4 linked regions of the Caenorhabditis elegans genome follow. The protein of the gene in region 1 interacts with the protein of each later gene in a pairwise test. Each region holds a gene or a part of one and is shown in the gene's direction. Other genes may lie near its edges. The genes, in order: C44B9.2, mig-39, inso-1 and dyf-3.

The links.
Region 2: the proteins of C44B9.2 (region 1) and mig-39 interact in a two-hybrid assay, tested with the Caenorhabditis elegans proteins (one large-scale study listed by BioGRID).
Region 3: the proteins of C44B9.2 (region 1) and inso-1 interact in a two-hybrid assay, tested with the Caenorhabditis elegans proteins (one large-scale study listed by BioGRID).
Region 4: the proteins of C44B9.2 (region 1) and dyf-3 interact in a two-hybrid assay, tested with the Caenorhabditis elegans proteins (one large-scale study listed by BioGRID).

The regions. Positions count from the first base shown.
Region 1 is NC_003281.10:10,873,431-10,879,000, forward strand, and holds C44B9.2 (Lgl_C domain-containing protein), read left to right. Parts: upstream 1-2,001; 5' UTR 2,002-2,028; coding exon 2,029-2,051; intron 2,052-2,106; coding exon 2,107-2,223; intron 2,224-2,987; coding exon 2,988-3,151; intron 3,152-3,204; coding exon 3,205-3,722; intron 3,723-3,777; coding exon 3,778-3,987; intron 3,988-4,455; coding exon 4,456-4,584; 3' UTR 4,585-4,812; downstream 4,813-5,570. Other genes in the region: vps-50 (Vps54_N domain-containing protein), read left to right, coding at 841-1,098; C44B9.3 (C2 domain-containing protein), read right to left, coding at 4,952-5,144, 5,197-5,513.
Region 2 is NC_003281.10:8,464,947-8,470,494, forward strand, and holds the start of mig-39 (Zinc finger BED domain-containing protein 39), read left to right. Parts: upstream 1-2,088; 5' UTR 2,089-2,145; intron 2,146-2,762; exon of another isoform or gene 2,763-3,052; intron 3,053-5,548. UniProt on the Caenorhabditis elegans protein: Regulates the timing and orientation of distal tip cell migration during gonadal development. May act in parallel to cacn-1 and Rac GTPases to control the anterior and posterior migration of distal tip cells.
Region 3 is NC_003284.9:1,297,749-1,303,261, forward strand, and holds the start of inso-1 (BTB domain-containing protein), read left to right. Parts: upstream 1-2,400; 5' UTR 2,401-2,527; intron 2,528-5,513. Other genes in the region: dop-4 (Dopamine receptor 4), read left to right, coding at 1-10, 171-386, 665-910.
Region 4 is NC_003282.8:3,396,151-3,401,371, reverse strand, and holds dyf-3 (Clusterin-associated protein 1 homolog), read left to right. Parts: upstream 1-2,248; coding exon 2,249-2,270; intron 2,271-2,470; coding exon 2,471-2,582; intron 2,583-2,673; coding exon 2,674-2,932; intron 2,933-2,988; coding exon 2,989-3,189; intron 3,190-3,634; coding exon 3,635-3,805; intron 3,806-3,851; coding exon 3,852-4,000; intron 4,001-4,049; coding exon 4,050-4,105; intron 4,106-4,153; coding exon 4,154-4,335; intron 4,336-4,658; coding exon 4,659-4,721; downstream 4,722-5,221. Other genes in the region: pdhb-1 (Pyruvate dehydrogenase E1 component subunit beta, mitochondrial), read right to left, coding at 633-763, 1,299-1,484, 1,615-1,684; C04C3.14 (uncharacterized protein), read right to left, coding at 4,839-4,881, 4,930-4,987.

The DNA.
Region 1 (5,570 bases):
GCCGGAACTGAATACATCCGGGAAATTGCCGGAATTGAAAACTTCCGGCAAATCGACAAATTGCCGGAATTGAAAACTTCCGGCAAATCGGCAAATTGCCGGAATTGAATACATCCGACAAACCGGCAAATTGTCGGTATTAAAAACTTCCGGCAAATCGGCGAATTGTCGCAATTGAATACATCCGGCAAATCGGCAAATGGGCAAAATGTCGGAATTAAAAACTTCCGGCAAATAGGAAAATTGCCGGAATTGAAGACTTTCGGCAAAGCGGCGAGTTGTCGAAATTAAAAACTTCCGGCAAATCGGCGAATTGTCGGAATTGAACACATCCGGCAAATCGGCGAATTGTCGGAATTGAATACATCCGGCAAATCGGCAAATCGGCAAATTGTCGGAATGGTAAACTTGCGGCAAATCGGGAAATTTCCGAATTGAAGACTTTCGGCAAAGCGACAAATCGGCAAATTGCCGGAATTGAAGACTTTCGGCAAAGCGGCAAATCGGCAAATTGTCGGAATGGTAAACTTCCGGAAAATAGGAAAATAGCCGGAATTGAAGACTTTTGGCAAAGCGGCAAATCGGCAAATTGTCGGAATGGTAAACTACCGGCAAATCGGCAAATCGGCAAATTTCCGGAATCGAATACACCCGGCAAACCGGCAATTTTCCGGAATAGAAAACATCCGGCAAATTGCCGGAATTGAATACATCCGGCAAACCGGCAACTTGCCGAATTCTACGACAAAAAATTTGCCGAAGGGCAATTACCGCCCAAAAACTAGGAAAATATTATTGAAAAATCGTTTCGAGACCCGAAAAATTCCAGTATTTTTTCAGCTGGAGCCCCTCTGCGGAATCAAGCCAGTTCCTCACGCGAGTTTCGTCGATGGATACATCAAAGCCTATTATCTGCCGGAAAATGGTCTAGAACAGTGGATAAAGACGCATTCTGTACGGGGTTTTTCCAATTTAATAAATTATTTTCCCGAAATTTTGCAGGAATACTCATCAAAGCAGCTGTCTTCTCTACTCGGTGCCGCAGCTCACGTGAGCAAAAAAGCCCGACTTCGGATATTGGACGCTTTGAAAGACTAGAATTTTATGTAGAAATAGTTTGATATAATTGTATATTTTGTCACTAATTTATTAATTTATTTTGCATTTTTTTTCTTTTCAGAAAATTGAAATTTCGACAAAAATTGGGTTCTTTTCGCGATTGAAAATTTGAGAAAAATGGAAAATTTGAATCTGCGCCTTTAAAACTACCGTACCCACTGCCACAGTTTTAAAGGCGCATCCTGTTCCAGAAATCGCGACGAGACCCAATTTTTGCATTAATTATTGATTTGAAATCTTTTCATGTCATCATCTCTGTCCTCATAATCAATAAATTTTTAATACAACAAAAAACCCGATTTTTTATCACGGTCTCGACACGACAAATTTTTGCTCATTTAAAAAAGTGTGCACCTTTAAAGGGTACTGTAGTTTCAAACTCCTAGGAATTTTTATTGATTTTTCAAAGTTTTCCGATTAAATTATATTTATTTGATGAATTTAAAACATTATTATGAAAAAATAAACAGAAAAATGAAAGTTTGAAACTACAGTATCCTTTAAAGGCGCACACATTTTTGCAATAAACAAATCCATCGTGTCGAGACCTGGTACCGTATTTTGGCGCCTTTAAAACTACCGTACCCACGACCTCGTAAAATTTTCAGTAGGCATATTTTCGTGGTGAGACCCAAAATTTTCAAATTTTATTTCTAGAGTTTAAAGGGATAAATCGCGACGAGACCCAATTTTTGCGCAAAATTTTTATTTGAAAAACGAGATTTTTTTCAATTTTGAATTATTTTTTCCAAAAAAAAATAAAAGCACGTGAAGATTAATCCACAAAATTTAACAAAAAAAAAAGGTACGTGGCACGCCACGTGGCGAAACGTAACATAGTCCAACTCAGAGAATCAGAGACGAAAAAAAATCGGAAAATTCAGTACGACGAATCTCCGGCAAGCCAAAATGACGTTGCGAAACCAGAAAGGGTGAGTTGGAGCATTTTTTGATTGTGAGCTCTCTGCTGACAAATCCGTGTTTCAGAGATTCTGTGACGCCTCAACGACGTGCAACAGCTGCTCCGGGAGCTCCATCTCAACAACTCAAAATGGCGGAGAAAACGACGGCACCGTTCGCTGTGATGTCTGTGGAACTTCCGCCGTTAGTTTTTTTTTCGGATTTTTTTAAGAGGAAATCCCAGAAAATTGTGAAGAAATTTCACTTTATGCTAGTAAAATCTGGAAATTTTCTTCAAAATCTGGCTGGAATACAGGTTTTGCCACGTGGCCGCGAAATGAGAAAGTTCGGCCACCGATTACTTTTTTCGCGGCCACGTTTTCGCTCTCAGATTTTTCACCATTTGTGAAAAGAAAACCCCGAAAAATTGGCTTTTTCATAGCGAAATAACTGGAAAATTTTAGAAAAAGCCAGGAATCCACGTGGAAATCTAAATTTTTGGAGTTTTTGTATAGGCTGCCACGTGGCCGTGAAATGCGGAACCTAGGCCATCCCTGCACAAATGGATGAAAAATCGGCTTTATCGAAAAATTAAAGAAATTACAGTTATAGAAAAAAGTGTAAATCTGGAAATTTTAAGAAAACTAGGCCACCGATAACTTTTTCGCGGCCACGTTATTTTTTTCCGGAAGGGCATTCAGGTATTGCTGCATGGCCGTGAAATGCGAAAACTAGGCCACGCAGCGAATTCTGAAAAAATGCACCTCAGATCCTGGAAAACAGAGTGATGGCCGTCATAAATTGGGTTTCTCGGCCATATTTTTGAAATTTTGCTCATAAAACTTCCAAATTCGGCGAAATGCGATTTTTTCAAGACATTTCGCAAATTTTCTGGAATTTTTAAAGCAAAATTCCGCTCAGACTACTTAAAACCACCAATTTTTTTTCAAAATTTCCAAAATTTGCAGAGGTCTTCCACGAGTCAACAACTCGGTATTCGATGACTTATCGCCACCAGCTCACATTCCATTCAGTGGATGGAAACAGTCAAGTGGAAGCAACAACAGTGGAAAGAAGAATCAGAGAAAGTCGACACCTCGGAAACAGGAAAATTCTTCTGCTTCTAGGCAAGGTGAGTAGTTTGTAGTCTTCTAGTAGATCAAAAGTAACCTTAAAATTGTTCAGGAACTATTCCGAATCCAAATCTAAAGTTCTTCCAACTGGTCAGCCCATTGCCATTTGCAACCAATTCAGTCCCAATTAGAGGAATCAAGACAGATCAGGGTGTTGTCAAGTATCCACTGCTCCTTTGCTCCCAGGAAGGAACTGTGATGGTATCCATGGCCGCCGGAATAATCGTCGAACTGTGTATGGATCGCAGTTTTCGTGTCGTCTGCAACACGGATTTCATGGCCTACATCAACTCGAATGGTGCCGTCTGCAGTTTTCTTCACAAATATGCAAAGATTGTGCATCAAAAGGAGCATGTTCACTGCAAATTCCTGAATACAAATGATCGAATGGCTGTGATGGGACCAGAAGGAATTCTATTCAGTATGGACTCACTCACAGAAGCCTATCTTTTGAGTGGAGCCAAAGAATCTGGACCTTCGGCGGTGGTTCTTGAGAAACCAGAGTTTCCGATCATGAATATGGATTATACCATTCAACAAATGTATGGAGAATCTGATCTTGGAGCAAGTGTAAGTTAAAATTAAAGCATTCTTTCAACTTGAATTAAATTCTTTTTTCTTTCAGAATATGGAAAAGTGCGAAGCTGTAATGCAGCAAGCTCAATACGAAAAGCACCCGGATGGACTCCTCACTGTGCATATCAACGGGATGCTTCTCAAGTACAACACTCAATCGGGAGAGGTGAATGTGGAGGCAAAACCAGTGAAGCTTACCGTCAATGCGACAACTCTCACGGCTCAGCTCAGAAGCGCTTTTATTGATATGGCTATTCAGGTAAGAAATTGATTTAATTAAGAAAAAAAATATATACGGTCAAAAAGTTTTCAAATTTTAATGAAAATCTAGTTTTTTGCTGTAATTTGCCTGAATCTGTTCGAAACCCAATTTTTTGTGCAGTTTTGGGTTCAAACTAGCACTGGGCTTAGAATTTTTGCTGAAAGTTGATGAAAAATTATTAATTTCGACAAAAATCGGATTTAAAATCGAAAAATTATGTGAAAAACGAGAAAATCGAAGAAAAACATTTGAAAACAATTAACAAAAATGTTTGGCGGGCTACGGTAGTTTTAAAGGCGCATGGCCGGGGATGAGCAACTTCCTTATGAGACCCGACTGCAAATATTCCGCTGTGCGCCTTTAAGATTACCGTAGCCAGCTTTTTTTTGCAATTTTTTTGACAGAAAATCAATAAAATCGAAAAAAAAAGTTAAAATAAACCGAAAAAAATAAATTTTCTTTCAGGACAAGGACAAATGCTACGTGAAGCGAGGCGAGAAACGAATTCACACATCCCGCTCGGGTATGGTGATCTCCGACGGCACCTGTACAATTTCCATGGACCAATTCGGCTGCATTCTTTCATGTTCATAAGTAACTCCCCGTCTGTTTTATTCCTAATATTTTTATTGTTTTATTATTTCCCAAGTTCCCCCCCCCCCCCCCCCCAGTATTATTAATTCCCTTAAGTTCTCCATTGAGACTCCAGCATACACCTAACTTTTATCCCATTATTCCTCGAATCATTGGGCCAAGAAAACCGCTACTGAGCCGGTAATTTATTTATTACATAAATCATAAAAAATAAAAATTTTAGTTTAATTTACGATGAACATACATCAAATGAGCAGTATTATATCACAAGAAGAATACAAATTAGAGATCTGATTAAATTTTGTGGCAAAAAAAATTAGAATTTTATGAAAACTGTTGGGAGAAATTTTAAAAAATTAAAAAATTATTATAGTGACGCATTTCCGGAATCACTTGATTCGTCGTCCTCCCGATGTGTAACTTTATAGACACATGTCGTCTCTCTTGGTGGATTATATGTTGAATCAATATTAAATGGTTGGAATGATGACCATGGTTCACATCCGTATTCTGTCCAACGTTCTGATGATGATTTTGTGGTGAAGAGGCCCGTGTCGCTACTGAAAATTGATTTTTTTCGATTTTTGAATCTAAATATGTGAATTTCCTTACCTCCTCCCGCCAAGTACAGTACTATTTGCCTGTGGCAATGGCATATCAAAGAACTCAGGCTTCTTTCGATCACTAATATACACACAGAGGAGTACGGTAGTCGATGTGAGAGCCAGCAAAGAGAAAAACGCAAGAATGAGCATTCCGATGAGCAATGAGGTGTTGTTCGAAGTTCCGAAAAATGGAGAAAACGTGGTGGATGGTGGTGCTGGGGTTACTGTAGTTGTAGTAGTTGTTTGTGAATCATCTACACACCATGGGCATACTGTATTGGATGCTTGAACTTTGACGGTTGACATGAAGCATTGACCTTGGATCTGGAAATTTTGGGGATTTTGGAACAAAATTAGACTTAAAATTCAATTTTTAATGGG
Region 2 (5,548 bases), 2.4 Mb from region 1:
CGCTTCCTCCTATTTTCCCGCATTTTTCGCTCCTCTCTGTACTTTTTATTTTTTCTCAGTTTTCCAATTTTTCGTTCGTTTGTTCCATCACCGCCTCCTCCTTCTCGTCAGATGCTTCTATTATTAGCTGTCCTACCGTTTTGAAAGGAGGTAGAAGAGTCACCTGCCACGTCATCAATTGTATAGCACATCAGAAGAAGGTTTACCTCTCGAATATTGAGAAATAACAACAACCACTTTTTGTTTCAATTGATTCGTCGCTTCTTCCTTTTCTTTTTTGACCATCCCAAAACATATTGGATATTGAGTTGTGAGCAACCGGTGAAAGTTTTGAGAGAGAAAAACTATGAGGAATGTTGGTATTCTAGAACTTTGTTTAGAAATGTGAAATGTTCATATTCGTGACTGCCGTGATTTTGAAACTAGTAAAAAGCAGTTGTCCAGCTTTGTTCCCGTTGTAACCTTTAAAAGAAGAATTTAATACAGTTTAGTATGATCTAGATAACTAAATGAACCACACAGTTCATATTTGTTTCTCACTTGGGTGGTCGTAAAAAAGATAAAAACTGATTAAAAGTTATGCCTGCTGGGGCTTTACCACAATATATATATTTCCCTGATGCCACCTTAACCTCTACCAGGTCAAAACTTCATGCAACCCTTCAAAAAACCACCACCAGAAGCATCCCGTCTATCATTGCTAAATGTTTGGCAAAAATTATATGACCCATGGGACTGGAGAAAGGTTTGCCCTTATTTCTTGGATCCGGAAATTTTGAGAGTAGTACTCGTAACTCAAAATGAGATGGACGATGCCCTCTGGGCACTTTGCTCCTGATTTTTAGATTTTTTCAATTTATTTTTGTAAGGACCTAACAATAGAGAAACCTTAAAACTCGACGAATATTTTGAGAATGTGTCCCAAGTGTTGTGTTATCCCATACCCAAAACCCGTATTGTCCCTTCGTTTGTTTTGCAACAAACGAGCCAGCGGCTCCTCTTAAAGAGCTCAGCTCGACTCGGGCTTCAACATGAGCGCGCGCCAATTTTTGATGGATTATGTCGTTTTGATGGGTAAGAGCACCTGATGCTCCTTAGGGGGATGCGACTCGGATACACGAGCCTGAAGATGGGGAGAGTCCAGCGTTTATGGTGTGTGAGTATGATTGATGGCCTAGGTTCGTTATACACTATGACAACTCTTCCTTCTTAGTTTCGACATCATTGTGAGGCCTAAACAAAACTCTCTCTGTGATTACATCTCTTGTCTCACTTATTCCCGATTGGCTTACCGTAGTAGCTTCTTCTTGTAGGTCGCGTATAAATACTACTTGGGTGGGTACTGGTGGAATCCAAGTTTCATTTTTGTTTAAGTAAAACTTTTTTCTGTAAAACCAGGTACCTATCAGGGCCACAGAAAAGGTATCCACAACTTGTCTGGTCGATTTTCTGCCAATTCGATTCGTTGGAAATTCTTAATTATTAATTTTACGGGAAGTCGTAGTAACCAGCATTTTAAAATCTGAATTGGGTTCTACAAAAGATTAACCGGACCCTACATGACTTCAGTGAATCTGAAATCGTAGACTTCTAGATGCTCATTTCAGCTACATGCTTCAAATAGTCCATATCATTCAGTATTATCAAATCTTATTAAATTGAAAGAAATTCAGTTTTTTAACCCAAACGTTCTATTACCAGCATCTCCAAAATACCTCAATTCCTTCTCAAAAACATATCCATTCACCTATTCTCATATCCATGTCCTTCGACCATTTGTCTTTTCCTTCTTCGGGTTTTTTGTCGCAACGCCCTTTTTTGCTCATCCCAATATCCCTGTGTGAAGCATTTTTTCTCAAAAATCCAGAGAAACACAAAAAAGAGTAACCCATAAATTTGCGGCATTTCCTTCACCACCGAAAGACGAAGCCCTCATTTCCAAATAAATTCATATTTTTTTGTGGTTTCTTTTAGGTTTTGTAGATCCCGATAGCCGCCCAAATTTTCCCCATGGGACATGAGATTTCATTTGTTTTATTTCTTTACTAATTTAAATTTTTTTAAATTAGAATCAAGACCAATTTTCAGGTACTATTGCCACAATTGCTGAGATCATTGCACAAATCCCAGGAAAACCCGAAAAACGTAAGTTAAACCTAAAAACTAGAATAGTGTGTATACTATAAAACCAAGTCAGAAAATATCTATATAGTTATGATGATGTTTAGTAAATATTGAGAGAAGAAGGAAAAAAGAAGGAATGGTATTTGTGAGTGTTTTATGGGCGATTCGCGCTCCACATTTCACTCAGTACCTGACAGTTTATTGTTATTTATTTTTAGAGAAAAGTAAGAGTTTTCGAATTTATCAACTTTCAAAGGTTTTATGAAAGAAATTTTGGTATACTTATTTACCCACTGACCCACTGAGATTATTCAAAAATTTCGGATAGCTTTAGGTTTTCTTTTTACAAAATATGATATTTTGTTTTTATTACACTTTACCAGTTAAAAATGTTTCAATATACAATTTAGATTTAAACATTTATTGACTGTCAAAACTGAAAATCTTCCAACCCAAACCCTTCCAATTCATTTTCCATAACTCGCACATTGTTCTTCTATCATTCAATTTAGCAATAAGTGGCTCTCGAAATCTTTGTAGGTCCCACCAGTTGATGAGAATCCACGAACACTTTACACCCAAAGAGTTTTTAGGAGGTCTATTGATGAAAAGACACGGAGGGGCCGGATGGTTTTTGGGAACAAATGAAACCATCTGGTTTTGGTTACCACGGAGAAAGAGGGGGAAAGAGCAAGTTGGGGAAATGGGCAAAAAATAAAGAGGAAGAGCACTTCGGTGTTGGGAAAATTTGAGTCACTTTTGAGTTTTGTTAGACCAAATTTTTGCTAAATGATTTTAGGATATGGGGAGAGTATAGATAACATTTAGCATATATAGTAGGTTCATCTTCAGGTGTTCGTATAACTTTTCAATCAAATTTTGCGATTTCAACGAATTTTTTTTCTAACTGCCAATAATTTACGATCATATCAATTTCCAATAGGTTGAGCATGTTTATTTACTCAAATTTCGTTCGAGTCGTCCATTGTATAATATGAGTCAATTTTCCACCAATTTTCTCTTATTCCTCTCTCTCTTTTTCTCGTTTCCTCAATCACCCATCACTACTGTTTGAGAGCCGTCCTGTGACAATGTATGCTGACTCATTTTGTATTTTCCTCTTCCGAAAATTGGCGATCATTACTATTATTTCTGTGTACCGCCCTTGTCTCAGCCATCTCCTCCTGCTAGAATGGTTTCATGAACATTCGTATATTTAAATAAAACAGTTTAGGTTTCGAAATGAACAGTGAAGTTGTGGCCGAACAAGTTGAGATAGCCCACTTCTTTTTGGCGTCTTCTGGGGTAGATTCATATCTTTTTTATGCGTATTTTGGTGGGAGGGGGCCGAGACAGAATTCAAGATCCTCCTAAATATGTATGGTTTCTGAACCGTTGCATATTACTTTTCAAATCCATTTTGCTCTTATTCAATTATTTTCCCAATTTTTACACAACCTGTAAATAATACCACGAAGTCCTTTGAGATAACCAAACATCATAATTAAACACTCCAAAAGTTGTAAGATTTTTGTAAATTTTATGCCAAGGCCTTGGTAAATGTCCAAATTATCTAGTTTCAGATTTTTGAGAAATTCAGAGTATTGTTGCATTTTTGAATGACTTCTAGGTTTATCAGTAGCAAAAACTTTGCAATCGCCATTGATTGACTAAAATGAAAAAATTTTCAAAAAATGTTATGATATTTTTCTTTCAGTTTAAATAAACACTTTTCTCTTTAGTGCTCCTCTACTTTTAAGCATTTAAAAGTCTTATTGAACTTTCAAATTATTTATTCTTTGAAAACTTCCTCTATTATCAAAAATCAAGGGTTTCTACCACGCAAAACCAAAATAAATCAAATCAAGATATTCAAATAATTCTTCATTTTTCTTTTTCCCTTTCATTCCCATTTCCCCAAAATCCGTCGCAAAATCGGCTCTTGGACACACGCCGATCACCTCTTCTTCTTTCATCTAGAATCCGTCGTCATCCTCTCGCGTACAGCCAAGTAGCTTACTGATAAGCCAGCAGCTCCTCGAGCCGTCGGGTTTTTTTCAACCGTGTTTTTAACATTCTAGGTAGATATAGATATAACTCACCGGTATTATCGTTTCATTTTAGTATTGAAAACAAAGATTATCTTTTGGGTATAAGAAAAAATGAAATAGTAATTTTGAAGAGTGGTATTCCAATTTTTATTACCTATAGGATAATTTATTGTTTTTATTATTTTTGCTGTGAATAACAGTATTTGTCATATATTAACATCTATCAAGAAATTTCAAAAACTCTTAGACTATCATATTCTATGTTCTACAAGCATATTTTCTTGATAAGTGTGACGTCACACACGGTTTTTAAACTTATGGTAAGACTCGATTTTAATATTCAATAAAAATATCCCTGTGTTTTAAACTGCGGAGAGACCGTCAAATCACCAAGAGTATTTCAAATGCTCAATTTGTGAACTGCGCTAAAATAATTTTTTGAAAATCCGTAATTTATCTAACCATATTCCTAATTTTGGCATTTCCATTTTGAATTTTTTTCCAGTCTTTGAAATTGTTTTGCTATCACAATCAAAAAGTTTAATTGAATGTTGAAAACTACCAACTTCTAAATTGAAATATTATGTTTCTAAAGTATAATGGAATTGAATTTCATTTTCAACTTTAGTTTTATTTTTCAACAAATATCAATCTAAAGAAAAGCCTACAGGTAATCCTAGTTATCCGCTTTGCAGTTTTTGGAGAGTTATTGAATCATAAAATCTTATCAAACTGCACAATAGTTAGGAAATAGTGGAAGAAAATCAGTAATAGAAGGCATCTATGGTAGGCAAGCATTTCTTTATGCCTGCCTGCCCATCGCGTGGCCACTTACAGTTAGGCAGAAGTGTTGACACAAGGTATGAAAAATTATTACATCTTCCATCCAAAAAAACGTTATGGAATATTTTAAAATGTACTGAAGAAATAATTTTAAAATCTTTTTCTGTCGGAATGTTTATTGATATCTTCAAAATAAACCCTTTTAAAAATTATCAATCGGGTGCAGTAGTAATTTCCTAACATCACTTACCTATATATCCTCCAAAACCTCAATCAGTTTCTCCTTGTAAATACTCAGCATCCTGCAGTTTTCTTGAGAACTCATTACCTTAGGTGATGTGGTTGTTGAAATCTTGTTGTCAACTTGAAAAAGATTATCCCACTCTACCCGGTTGTTGATGTACTCTCGGTTATCTTCTCATTTAACTGTGCATTCTTCTAGTTTCTCATATTCTAATTTGCTAAGTGTTACACACCTCCATCTTTTCGACTCCGCCCCATTGGGCTCTTCTTGTTGAAAACATAATCGGCCTAAATAGAGATGAAGATAGAACAGATAGAGAAATTCAAATGAATATATAAAGAAATGG
Region 3 (5,513 bases), on another chromosome or scaffold:
AGTTGATCAGGTAAACATAGCGTCTGACTTCTTACTGTTCCAGAATACTGTAACAGGGTTAGTTTTCCTGCCAAAAACAAAAAAAAATCCATAAAACGTGTCAGAAACCATTCACTCAGTCCTCCTCTAATAATGTAAACATTCCATTAAAAATCCCCCAAATTTTCCAGCCGGATCGTATGTCGCTCTCCTCCAACTCCCAAATGGTGATGACATCTCCCTTATCAACGCGTCGAAAATTGAATGTTCGAGAAAAATCGCGCCAAATGATGCGCTACGTCCACGAGCAACGTGCAGCTCGGACACTTTCCATTGTGGTCGGAGCATTTATTCTCTGCTGGACACCATTTTTCGTGTTCACTCCGCTCACCGCGTTCTGTGAAAGTGTAAGTGTAGGATTTGATGACCCGCTAGATGTCGGGCATGCAAATTTATGTTTTGGTAAAAAATTTGAACGGTATTCTAGTGAACGAGAGTTTTTAGTTTTTGAGGGGAAGGCGCCTGGTGAACTTTCCGGTTACTTGCAACTTTTTGAAAAATTTCTGAAAAATGCTTTTATCAGAAATTGACAAAGCCCCTACTATGATAAAACTCGACTCACCATTGCTCCAAAAACCAAAAAAAAGCCCACAAATAGCCGCGGCTAATTAAATTTCCGTTTCAGTGTTTCTCCAACAAAGAGACCATCTTCACATTCGTCACATGGGCCGGTCACCTAAACTCAATGCTCAACCCGCTCATCTACTCGCGCTTCTCGCGAGATTTCAGACGGGCATTCAAGCAAATTCTCACGTGTCAACGCCAGCAAAAGGTGAAAACCGCATTTAAAACGCCACTGTCACTCGTGTTCACTCAACTCATCTCGGTCACCCAAATGTGGGAGCAACCGCCGAATACTTCAATTGAATAGTTTTTATTTTGTATTTTTTATTTTTGATTTTTTTTCAATTTGTAATATGAACAGTTTTTTGGAGTACAGCAGAAGCTCGCTCTGAAAAAAAATTTAAAAATTAGAAATTGGTATTTTGAATTCAGCGTGCCAAGATTATTTAAATTCGAGTTGCTTATAAACTTTATATTTTTTTGAAGTTTCTGAAATACAGTGCAGAAGGCTTATTTGTAGGTACAGAAGTGCCTGCCTGCCTTTTTCAGTAATTTTTATTTTGGAAAATCTTTTAAAATCTTCAAAATCTTCCAGAATGTTTACCTTGTTTCAAAGATCCTGAAAAACATTAAATATGTGCAAAAAAACCACTTGTTCCAAAAGTTTTTCATGAATTTATTTAAAGGTGCCTAAGAATTATCATCGAAAAAAATACGCTCGCAAATTTTTCTCATAATTAACATTTGATCTACCTTTGGAACTTGACTCCGCCGCTAAATTTGTTGCCGTTGTTATTTCGTTGTGGCTGTCTTAACGAAGAGAAAGGAAGAGCCTAGTGAACAAGGTAGATCAAAAATAAATTATGAGAAAAATTTGAACTTTTTGAAAAAAGAAAAAAGCAAAATTTTATCGTATTTTTTCGATAATAGTTAACATTCTGAAAGCCTTTGAAAATTAAAAAAAAGTTTTCACAATCTTCAGCCGCTTTCATCTTCTGAACATAAAAAAAAAACCATAAAAAATCTGCAAAAAGTCATTCTTGGAGCAATGTTACAGACTTTGAAAATGGTGAAAAACTGAGGAATTAGGTAAACGTTTAGGGTCGAACTTCTCATAGTTCAAAGACTTCGTGTACAGTTAATTTTTTTTCTTAACGTGCCGGATAGTTCTCACGGTAGCACAGAAACTAGATGGATTGGTTCATGATACTCAGTCTGGAAACCTATATTGGCTACTATCTCGAAAACCATCACAAAATCGATTTTGCGATGCATATAAGAAATGACCGCAATGAAATTATCTATCTTTATTTGTGATGAATTTTCGATTTTGTACTTCCTGGCCAAGTTATGCACGTTTGTTCGGTGGAGCGCGTTTGCACCCATTTAGCAACTGAACCACCGTGTTCTATTAGGCAGGTGAGCCCGGAATACATACAGAGTTCTGAAGTCAGACCGCTAATTATAATTAACAAGAACAGGTGAAAATGCAAGTACATCCTATAAAGCATGAAAACTATAACAAAAGCTGAGAATTACTTCCTTAGTTTTTGACGATTTTTAGCGAATCTGACAAAATAATATTACAAAAAGGGCCCCCTTCCGATCCAGTGGTTCCAAGTGCCCCCCCCCCCTCCTCCCCAAAAAGGCCATGACGTGACATCTCTAAAAGTGCATATCTTGCGGTTGACTAAACAAAACCCAAGATAAGAAAATTAATTACGCTCTCATTCACAGAGACGTCCATTTAACTGCCTATGAATCATCTTTTCCAGGGCACCGAGATTTTCTTCATTAGCTGAGATTTCCTTTCGGTTCATTATATTGAATTTATTCATCTGATTTGAATTTTCAGTCGGCGTCGTTTCGCCAAAAAATTAGCTAACGAGGTAAAGCAGCTGCTCTGGCCGCGTGCGATTTTCAGGTAAGTTCTTTCAAATTTCAGAAATTTTATCGGATTTTGTTCGCACAACTGGTTTTTGTAAAAAAGTTTTACATATCGATTTTCTTTGGTATCCTTTTGTTGTACATTGTCTACCAATCTGATAGTGAGTAGGTTGAATAAATTTAAAAATAAATTTTAAAGTAATACCTTCAAAAAATTCTTCAAAAAGTTTTATTTATAACTTTGCATATTATGTATGATTTAAATGAATTTTTTCCAATTAAAAAAGTTATATAATCTTAAACTTAGGCTTAGGCTTAGGCTAAGGCTCAGTCTAAAGCTCAGGCTTGGGCTTAAGCGTAGGTTTAGGCTTAGGCTAAAGCCTAGGTCTTGACTTAGGCTTATGCTTTGGCTAAGGCTTTGGCTTAGGCTTAGGCTTAAGCTTGGGCTTAGGCTCAGGCTTAGGCTAGGTTCCCTCCGTTTGTTCTCTGACTAAATTTTTTCCAAAATATTCCAAGTAAACCGGCAATTGTGAGCCAATGAAATTTATTAAAATTGAAGGCACATTTCAATTGTTGTCTCTAAAAAATGAGACTGTAAGGATAGCGTATGGTATATATATCTCACCCACATGGTGTTCTAAGGGCCTTTCGTTTTTATTAGATAATATAATTTTATAAATTGAACATTTTGAGCTTACACGTAAACAACATGAATATTATTAAAAATCTGCAAACATTAGTTTTTGGAGAACTTTTACTTGCCTCAAAAATAGTTGTTAGAAAACCTAAAGTTTCATATTTAATTATTGCCAATCAACAGTGTCAGTATGCAGTTAGAATTAATTTCAAGTCGAATATTTTTTTTGATTTGTCATGTTTTGTCATGTTTCCCTCCAAATGTTGCTCTTTTTCGAAATGTCAATTTCTATCCCCTTCTGCATCTTGCTTTTTTCAATAAATTTCCTTTTTTTCTAGTTCATGATTTGTATGTAAGTTTTTATAGTTTGTTTTTCACTTTGTTTCTGATATATGTAAAGCATGACTATTTGTTACCGGTTTAGATTTATGGAATTTAATTGAACAAATAATAAAAAATTAGGTGAAAAAAGAAAGAAGTATTTTTAGTTGGAATATATTACACTTTGAAAAAATCTAAAAGTTATAAATAGTTGCGGGCTCGAAAAAAAAATTAAGTAATTGAAATTAGGTTCGAAACTAAGGTTACGCATAAAAAACTATAAATTTCACATCTAAAAGGTTTGAAAAATTTACTTCGAAAAAATGTGGAACCTTTTTTTTCCAAATAAATATTCTACTTTTGTCTGAAAACTAAAACTTCAACTTTCTACAAAATTATAATTTGGCTTCTGAAAAAAACTAAACTTTACAGCCTGAAAACTCAAAAGAAACTGCTTTTTTTTTAAATTTAAAAAAAAAAAAGCTTTTCGCCGAATAAAAACTTAAATTTTCTAAAACTTTTCATCACATTTCTGATTTGAAATTATTTTTTCCAAAAAACATGGCAGTTATCTGGTAATTTACGTTTGAAAAGTCTGAAAATGTTTTAACTGAAAAAATTATAGTTTTATATTTTCACTTTAATAAATTTCTAAATAACCGAAAAACTAAAATTCGTAGGTTGGCAAATCCGCGAAAAATTAAAAAGGCACTATATTTCGAATTTTCACGTTTATCACAGAAAAAAAATGTGCAAAGTGTATCAATATTTAAGCAATTCAAATGTTCCGAAAATTTTCATCACTTTTCTGGTTCCGACCTGGTACTGACCGGATATGAAGTATTTTTGGAAATTTTTTCGTTTTTGTCATTTGGAAGTGATCCGCAAAATGATTTAATTCAAACGATGTATCCCGGCAGCAACAGCTCAAAACCTTAGAAATTTCAGATTTTTAAATATGTAGATTTCTTAAAGAGCTAAAATAGTAATCTTCAGTACTAGAGAATTCCTCGAACAAATCCCAAAAAAAATTTAATGAAAAAATGTCAATTGCAATGTAGAACCTCCTAAAGCTATTCCATTATTTTTTTGGAAACATGGGGGGAGAGAGCAAGTGAGAGAAGACGGGGGGAGCACATTCATGCACAAACACACACTCGCACTTGGTTGTTCCTTACCCCCTCACTGTTTCATTTTCTTAAGCCTACATATATACTCTGCGTCTCCCAGCTCTCCCCCAACCGAAGCAGCAGCAGCATCGCCGGGCACCCTATGGCCGTGGACTAGTTCCCCCCATTTCCCGCTTCATATCTCTGCTCGCCCTCTTCCTTCTGTGTGCTCTCTCGGATCCTTACGCAGTAACTGACCATATGGTCAAGTGGTTGGCGGGTGTGCAGTGCTAGTACGATTGTCTTGTCTATTGATTCTTTTTTTTGTCATTCGGAGCTTGGCTGGAATTTTCTGGTTTTTAGGTTTTCAATAACAGCGTTTTATTCTTATGAATTTAAAATTTGCAGTTTTTTCTTTGAATACAACTTTGAAGTTTTCAATTTCACATATATATATATACAATAACTAAAATTATATTTAATTGAGAAAAAATTAAATTTGCTTATTTTTTAATTTACAATATTTCCTGAAAATTGAACTATATACCTATTCCAGTTGAAAAAAAAGCGTAAAATAATATTTTCTTTTTAAAAAAATTCAAACTTTGAAAAATTTATTATAGAGCATTATATTTTGAGTAACAGTATGTAATAATTATTTATAATTTGGTAGCCTGTTAAAACTGATAAAATAAAATAACTTTTAAAAAACCTACTCGAAAAAACATGAAATAATTTTTCCCATTTTTTTTCTACCATTTTGTGGTATTTTTTTCTCGAATTCAATATTGCTGCATCCGTTCCTGTTCAGTTTTTGTTCAATTAATCACACCAAAGCCAATAAATGGGCGGAGTCTAATGAGATAATTTTGTTGAATTTTATTTTAAAATAATAGTCTGGTTTCTATTTCGTAGAATTAAAAATTAATTTTGAGGTTTCAGCGTAAAAAATAACT
Region 4 (5,221 bases), on another chromosome or scaffold:
CGTTTTCAAATGTTTCTTCAATGATTTTATAAATATCATTTTCTCCGGTATTTTTCTTGGAAAAGCGGTGTTTTCAGAAAAAAAAACAAGAAAAAAAAACTTTAAAAGTTATAAATTCCCTATATTTTCTCAGTTTTGGACCGATTTTCCGAAAAAAAATTTCCAATTTCTGATAAAATTCACTGATCAGAAAGTGTTCAGTGATAAGAATTCTTATCAGTTGATGATTTTTACAAATTTTTTCTTATCAAAATGGCGTGAGACCATGTGAAAAACATGATTTTTCAGCATAAATTCAACGAAAATGGCTGAAAAAATGAAATTTTCAGTGAAAAGTCGAGAAAAATCGGATTTTAAAGCTAAAATCAGCTCTGTTGAGGTAAAATTTGTGTAGAAATTTCAGAAAAACCCTGATTTTCAGTCAAAAATCTAGAAAAATCGCATTTTTTGTATCAGAAATTGACTTTTTCCTGAAAAATCAGTGTAAACCGAGGAATTTCGTTCTAAAAATAGCAGAAAGCGTGATTTCTCACGAATTAGTCAAAAATTTGGTGAAAATCTTCAATTTTTCGGCTATTTTTTCGCTGAAAATCGCAATTTCCAGAAAACGTGGCACATTGCCAAGACCGTACCCTTCCGGCGGACATATAATATGTTTTTGCGGCTGAATTAATAATCTGATCGATGGCTTGCATGGAAAAATTGAATGTCATGAACTCGCAAATTGGACGGAGCCCGGCGAAGGCAGCACCGACGGCGATTCCTGAAAAAAATGTGATTTTTTTGGAGGAATTTTCAGTTTTTTCTGAAAAAATTTTGCTAAAAATTGAATAAATCGAGAAAAATGCGAAAATTCGAGCTTTTTAGACAATTTTTGCTGAAAAATTGAATTTGCGCGGTCTTAGAGCTTTTCTGCAAATAACATTGGGAAAAATCTGATTTTTATATAAAAAATGTGATTTTTCAGCTTAATTTTCGACAAAATTTTGATAAAACCGGAATTTTCTGCGAAAAATATCAAAACTCCGTAATTTCCGAGCTTTTTGCAGTGAATATTGAAATTTTCAATAAAAAATGCCGAAAATTAATTGTTTTTAGGAAAATTTCCGAAATTTGTTCGAAAAATCCAATTTTTAGTGTAAAAACTGAACTTTTGAGAGAAAAGATCCAAAATTAAAGTAAATTTGGACACTTTCTTTTCGAAAAAATGGTGCTGTTTTTGGGGATTTATTAGTGATTTTGACGTTCCGAGTCAACATTTCTCGATTTTTCTCGATTTCCAGCGTGATTTCCCGTACCAGCGAATCCCATTTCAGTAATTGGAGTGTCGACGACTCGCTTATCACCGTGCTTCTTCCACAATCCCTTGGAAATCTTGTAAGCTCCGTCGTACTGAGCAACTTCTTCTCCCATCAGGAAAACTCGGTCGTCACGTTTGATTTCCTCGTCCATAGCCTGATTTAGGGCGTCACGGACGGTCATTGCTGAAAAAATTGGCGATTTTTATGCTTTTTTAGGTTAAAATTCGTTTTTTCCGTTCAATTCTTCATTTTTAGCCGGTAATCAGCGATTTTTTCGTTTTTTTTCCATTCATTTTTTGCAATTTCTACTCACTGGAAGCCGCTCTGGTCGAGGTGCCAGCGAGACGAGCCACGAACAGGTTTCCACACTTTCTCAGAGCCATTTCGACCGGGGATTACCTGAAAAACCGGAAATTAATTGAAATTTTGAGGCTTTTGCCGGAAATTTTGAGAAAAATAGAGAAAAACTAGGATTTTTTAAAAAATTTAGGTATTTTGATTCAAAATTCTCACATTTTCATTAGTTTTTCTGCTGAGCATATTGTTTTAATGCTAAAAACTCAAAATTTAGACCAAAACCCTTCCAAATAGAATTTTACTGGTTTCTAGGGTTTTTCACTACGATTTTTCACATTTTCACCACTAAAACAGGCGGAAATCGATAATTTAAACCATATTTCCCCCGATTTTAATAAAAAATCAATGAAAGATGCGCAAAAAAGCAAACAAAACTCGGAGAAAATGCGCGCGGCGCTCCTCTCGAAAAATGTGTGCAATATGGCGTCGCGGTGTTTGCGTACAAAACGCCGGTTGAGCTGCAGAAGCTCGTCGACCGTAGTCTTTGGGGTGTTTGCAGGGAGTTTCTATGGGAACGGAGGAAATATTGAATGGGGGAATAGGCAGGCAATTGTTGAGAAGAGAAGTTTCAATTGAATTCTGCACGAAAAATGTCGTATCGTGAGCTGAGAAGTAAGTTTTTAAGGCTTTTTTAATTTTAAATTTGAACTTTGAGATTTTCATATGGAAAAAATAAGTGTTGCATTAAAATCTAGGTGAGAAATGTTTCTAAACCATAAAACGCAAAAAAAAGACCCAAAATACACTTAAAATTGAATTTTACAAAATCATGGCCGAGTTCGGATTCTAGTCCCAAATTTCGCCAACTTCAGACCTGTGTGAGATGACGCGAAGCCTCCGATACCCTCGCTTGATGTCAATTGAGAATTTCCGGACCCCAAATTTTCAGCTGGTGGCTGAATTGCTGGAATGGATCGTGAAAAAGTTAGTTTCCCAGTGAAAAAAATCGTTGGCCGAAAAATATAGAAACTTTGGCCACTAACTTCCAAGCCTACTCTAAGCCCAAAAATTCCAGATTTGAGCCCGAATCCAACCTTGACGCACACGAAGTCCAAACAGAAGCTGATCGGGTCGCTTTCATCAAGAACGCGGTACTCCTGATGCTCCAAAATTCGAGAATCAAGATGAATCCAAAAAAGTTGTACCAGGCTGATGGTCATGCGGTGCAGGAACTCCTACCGGCCATGAAGATCCTCTACCAGGCCAAGGCAGAGGACCCGAACACTGATAACTCGCCAAAATGGACCCAAGTCAAGAATAAGCTCTCGTCGAAGGTGGGTCTCACAGGCCACCAGCCTGAAAAAGCCTGAAAAAACTGTCGAAAGTTCAGATGCAGGAGGTCCGAATCACTCGTCAGCTATCATCACAACTCCCGGAAACAGGTGCCCTGCTCAGTGAGCTGCTGTCCCGGCAGGAGTTCATATCTCAGCAACACGAGAGAGCCGCGTCACGGGCGGTACCACTTGCTGAGGCCGAGAAGGTGCTGCAGGCAACAGTGCAGAACATCGCTCAGGAGACTGAGCAGCTATCGGTAAGCTTGACGGGTCACGGAGCTCCTGGTGGCGTAGGTTTGAGCTCTGGCGTCTTAGAGTTTGAGAGATTGGCCTGGCTCGATCCTGATTGTGAAGCGGACAGTAAAAAGCTTGGACTTCTTCTAATGGCGTGGGCTTGGTCAAAGAGTGACTTGAACTTTGATTCAGACTTTGAAGCTTCATTACCTGAACTCTAGTGGTATATGCAGGGCTTCAAGCCACTAGACCGGGCCTGTGCATCTTCTCCAGAAGCTCAGAGACCCCTAGCCTCGAGGAGTCCGCTGAGGATCTTGGAGCTGAAGGAATAGACTGAATTAGCCTAACTGGCTTGAAGCAACACCCACTCCACTCGAACCCACGTGATTGTTCTTAAAGCCCGGAGGGTCTGAGTCACTTACAATTAGGTTAGGTGCAGGCTCCCCAGCTAACCTCTCAAATTTTCAGAACAAGCTGAACAACGTGGCCAGCGATGAGGCAGAGCTCGACGAGAAGATAGAGCGAAAGAAGCGAGAGTACGAGCAGTTGCAAAAAAGATTCGCAAAGCTACAGTCCTTCCGACCTCAGTATATGGACGAGTACGAGCGGTTTGAGGAGCGACTGAAGAAACTTTATGAGGTAAGACACCGGATACCGAGCTGCCCTGTGAAGCCTAAGCTTCCAGGTCTACGTGCTGAACTTCCGCAACCTGTCCTATCTGCGAAAAGTTCATGATGACTTGGCGAGGTCCGAGCGGCAACGGCAGGAGGAGCTGGAGAAGGCGATGAGGATGGCCGTTGAGAAAATGCGGCTGGAGCAGGAGAAGAAGGATGCGTGAGTTTTCATGGAAGTTTAGAACTTCCGACTGACATCCTTATTTCAGCATCGGACTCCACGACGACGACGGCTCCGACGCCCCCTTGGTGGACAGGAGGCAGTGTAAGTGTTAAGTTCTATCAGCTCCACAGGTTTATTAACCATTTCCAGCTGTTCGCAAGGTGTACGGTAACATGATGGGTGGTGATGCCTCTGATGATGATGAGGACGATGAGGATGACGAGGATGATGAGATCATCAGGATGGATGATAATGTCGCGCAGCATCACAAGAGAGAACTTCATCGGCAGGAGGAGGATGAGGAGAGAAGCGAGGCGGATTATATGGTCGGGGTGAGTGATAAGGTGCTTGGGAGGGTAGATGATCGTCTCCTCATGGTCAGGTGGATTTAGCTGCTAGATCTTTGGAAGTTCAGAAACTTCCACTAGGATGCGTTGTGACGTCACATTTTTTACAAATGCCTCCTGTGACGGCAACCTACCGTACCCCGCAGACAGGCCAACAACACCCTGTCGGTGTATGAGCTTCAGAAAAAAGGCTGTGACGTCACTCCAGTGAAAATTAAGTTTCCCGCGATTTCTGGCCTTAAGCTTTGCCTGGTCGTAATCTAAACCAGAAGCGCGTACCCGTGGAAACTAAAATTATCGATTTTCAGATCACCACCGCCCACGTGGCCGACGACGCGAAAAGCGACTTGAGCAGTGGAGACGACTTCTGAGCTTCTTCTTGTGTTTTTTTTGCAAAACCCTTAAGTTTTTATTAACCCCAGAAAATAAATGCACCTTTTTATTACATATTTACAATTCAACAAAACAATTAGAGATCGTCAAAAAATTCAAAAAAGCATAACGGCAATCTCGGCGGGATCCACTCGGTACCTAAAACTCGAGGTTTTACTATTACTACTAGGTGATGACGTGGAATACGTTGCGGTCGACGATGCCGATTGAGAGTACTGTGGAGGAGATGAGCTTGAGCCATAACCTGGAAATATATTTTAGGTTATTGCAGAAAAATAGTTTTTAAAAAACTACAATTTTTTGTGAAAATTCCACAAAATTTCTGATTTTTCTGATTTTTTTTCAGAAACTTTCTGGCCAAAAATTACAAAAAACCCAAATGGAATTCTGAAAATTTTTGAAATTTCAGATTTTTTTAGCCAAACAACTCGGAAGATCCCAGAAAAGTTCTCAGGCAAAAAAATCGGAAAATCTTAAA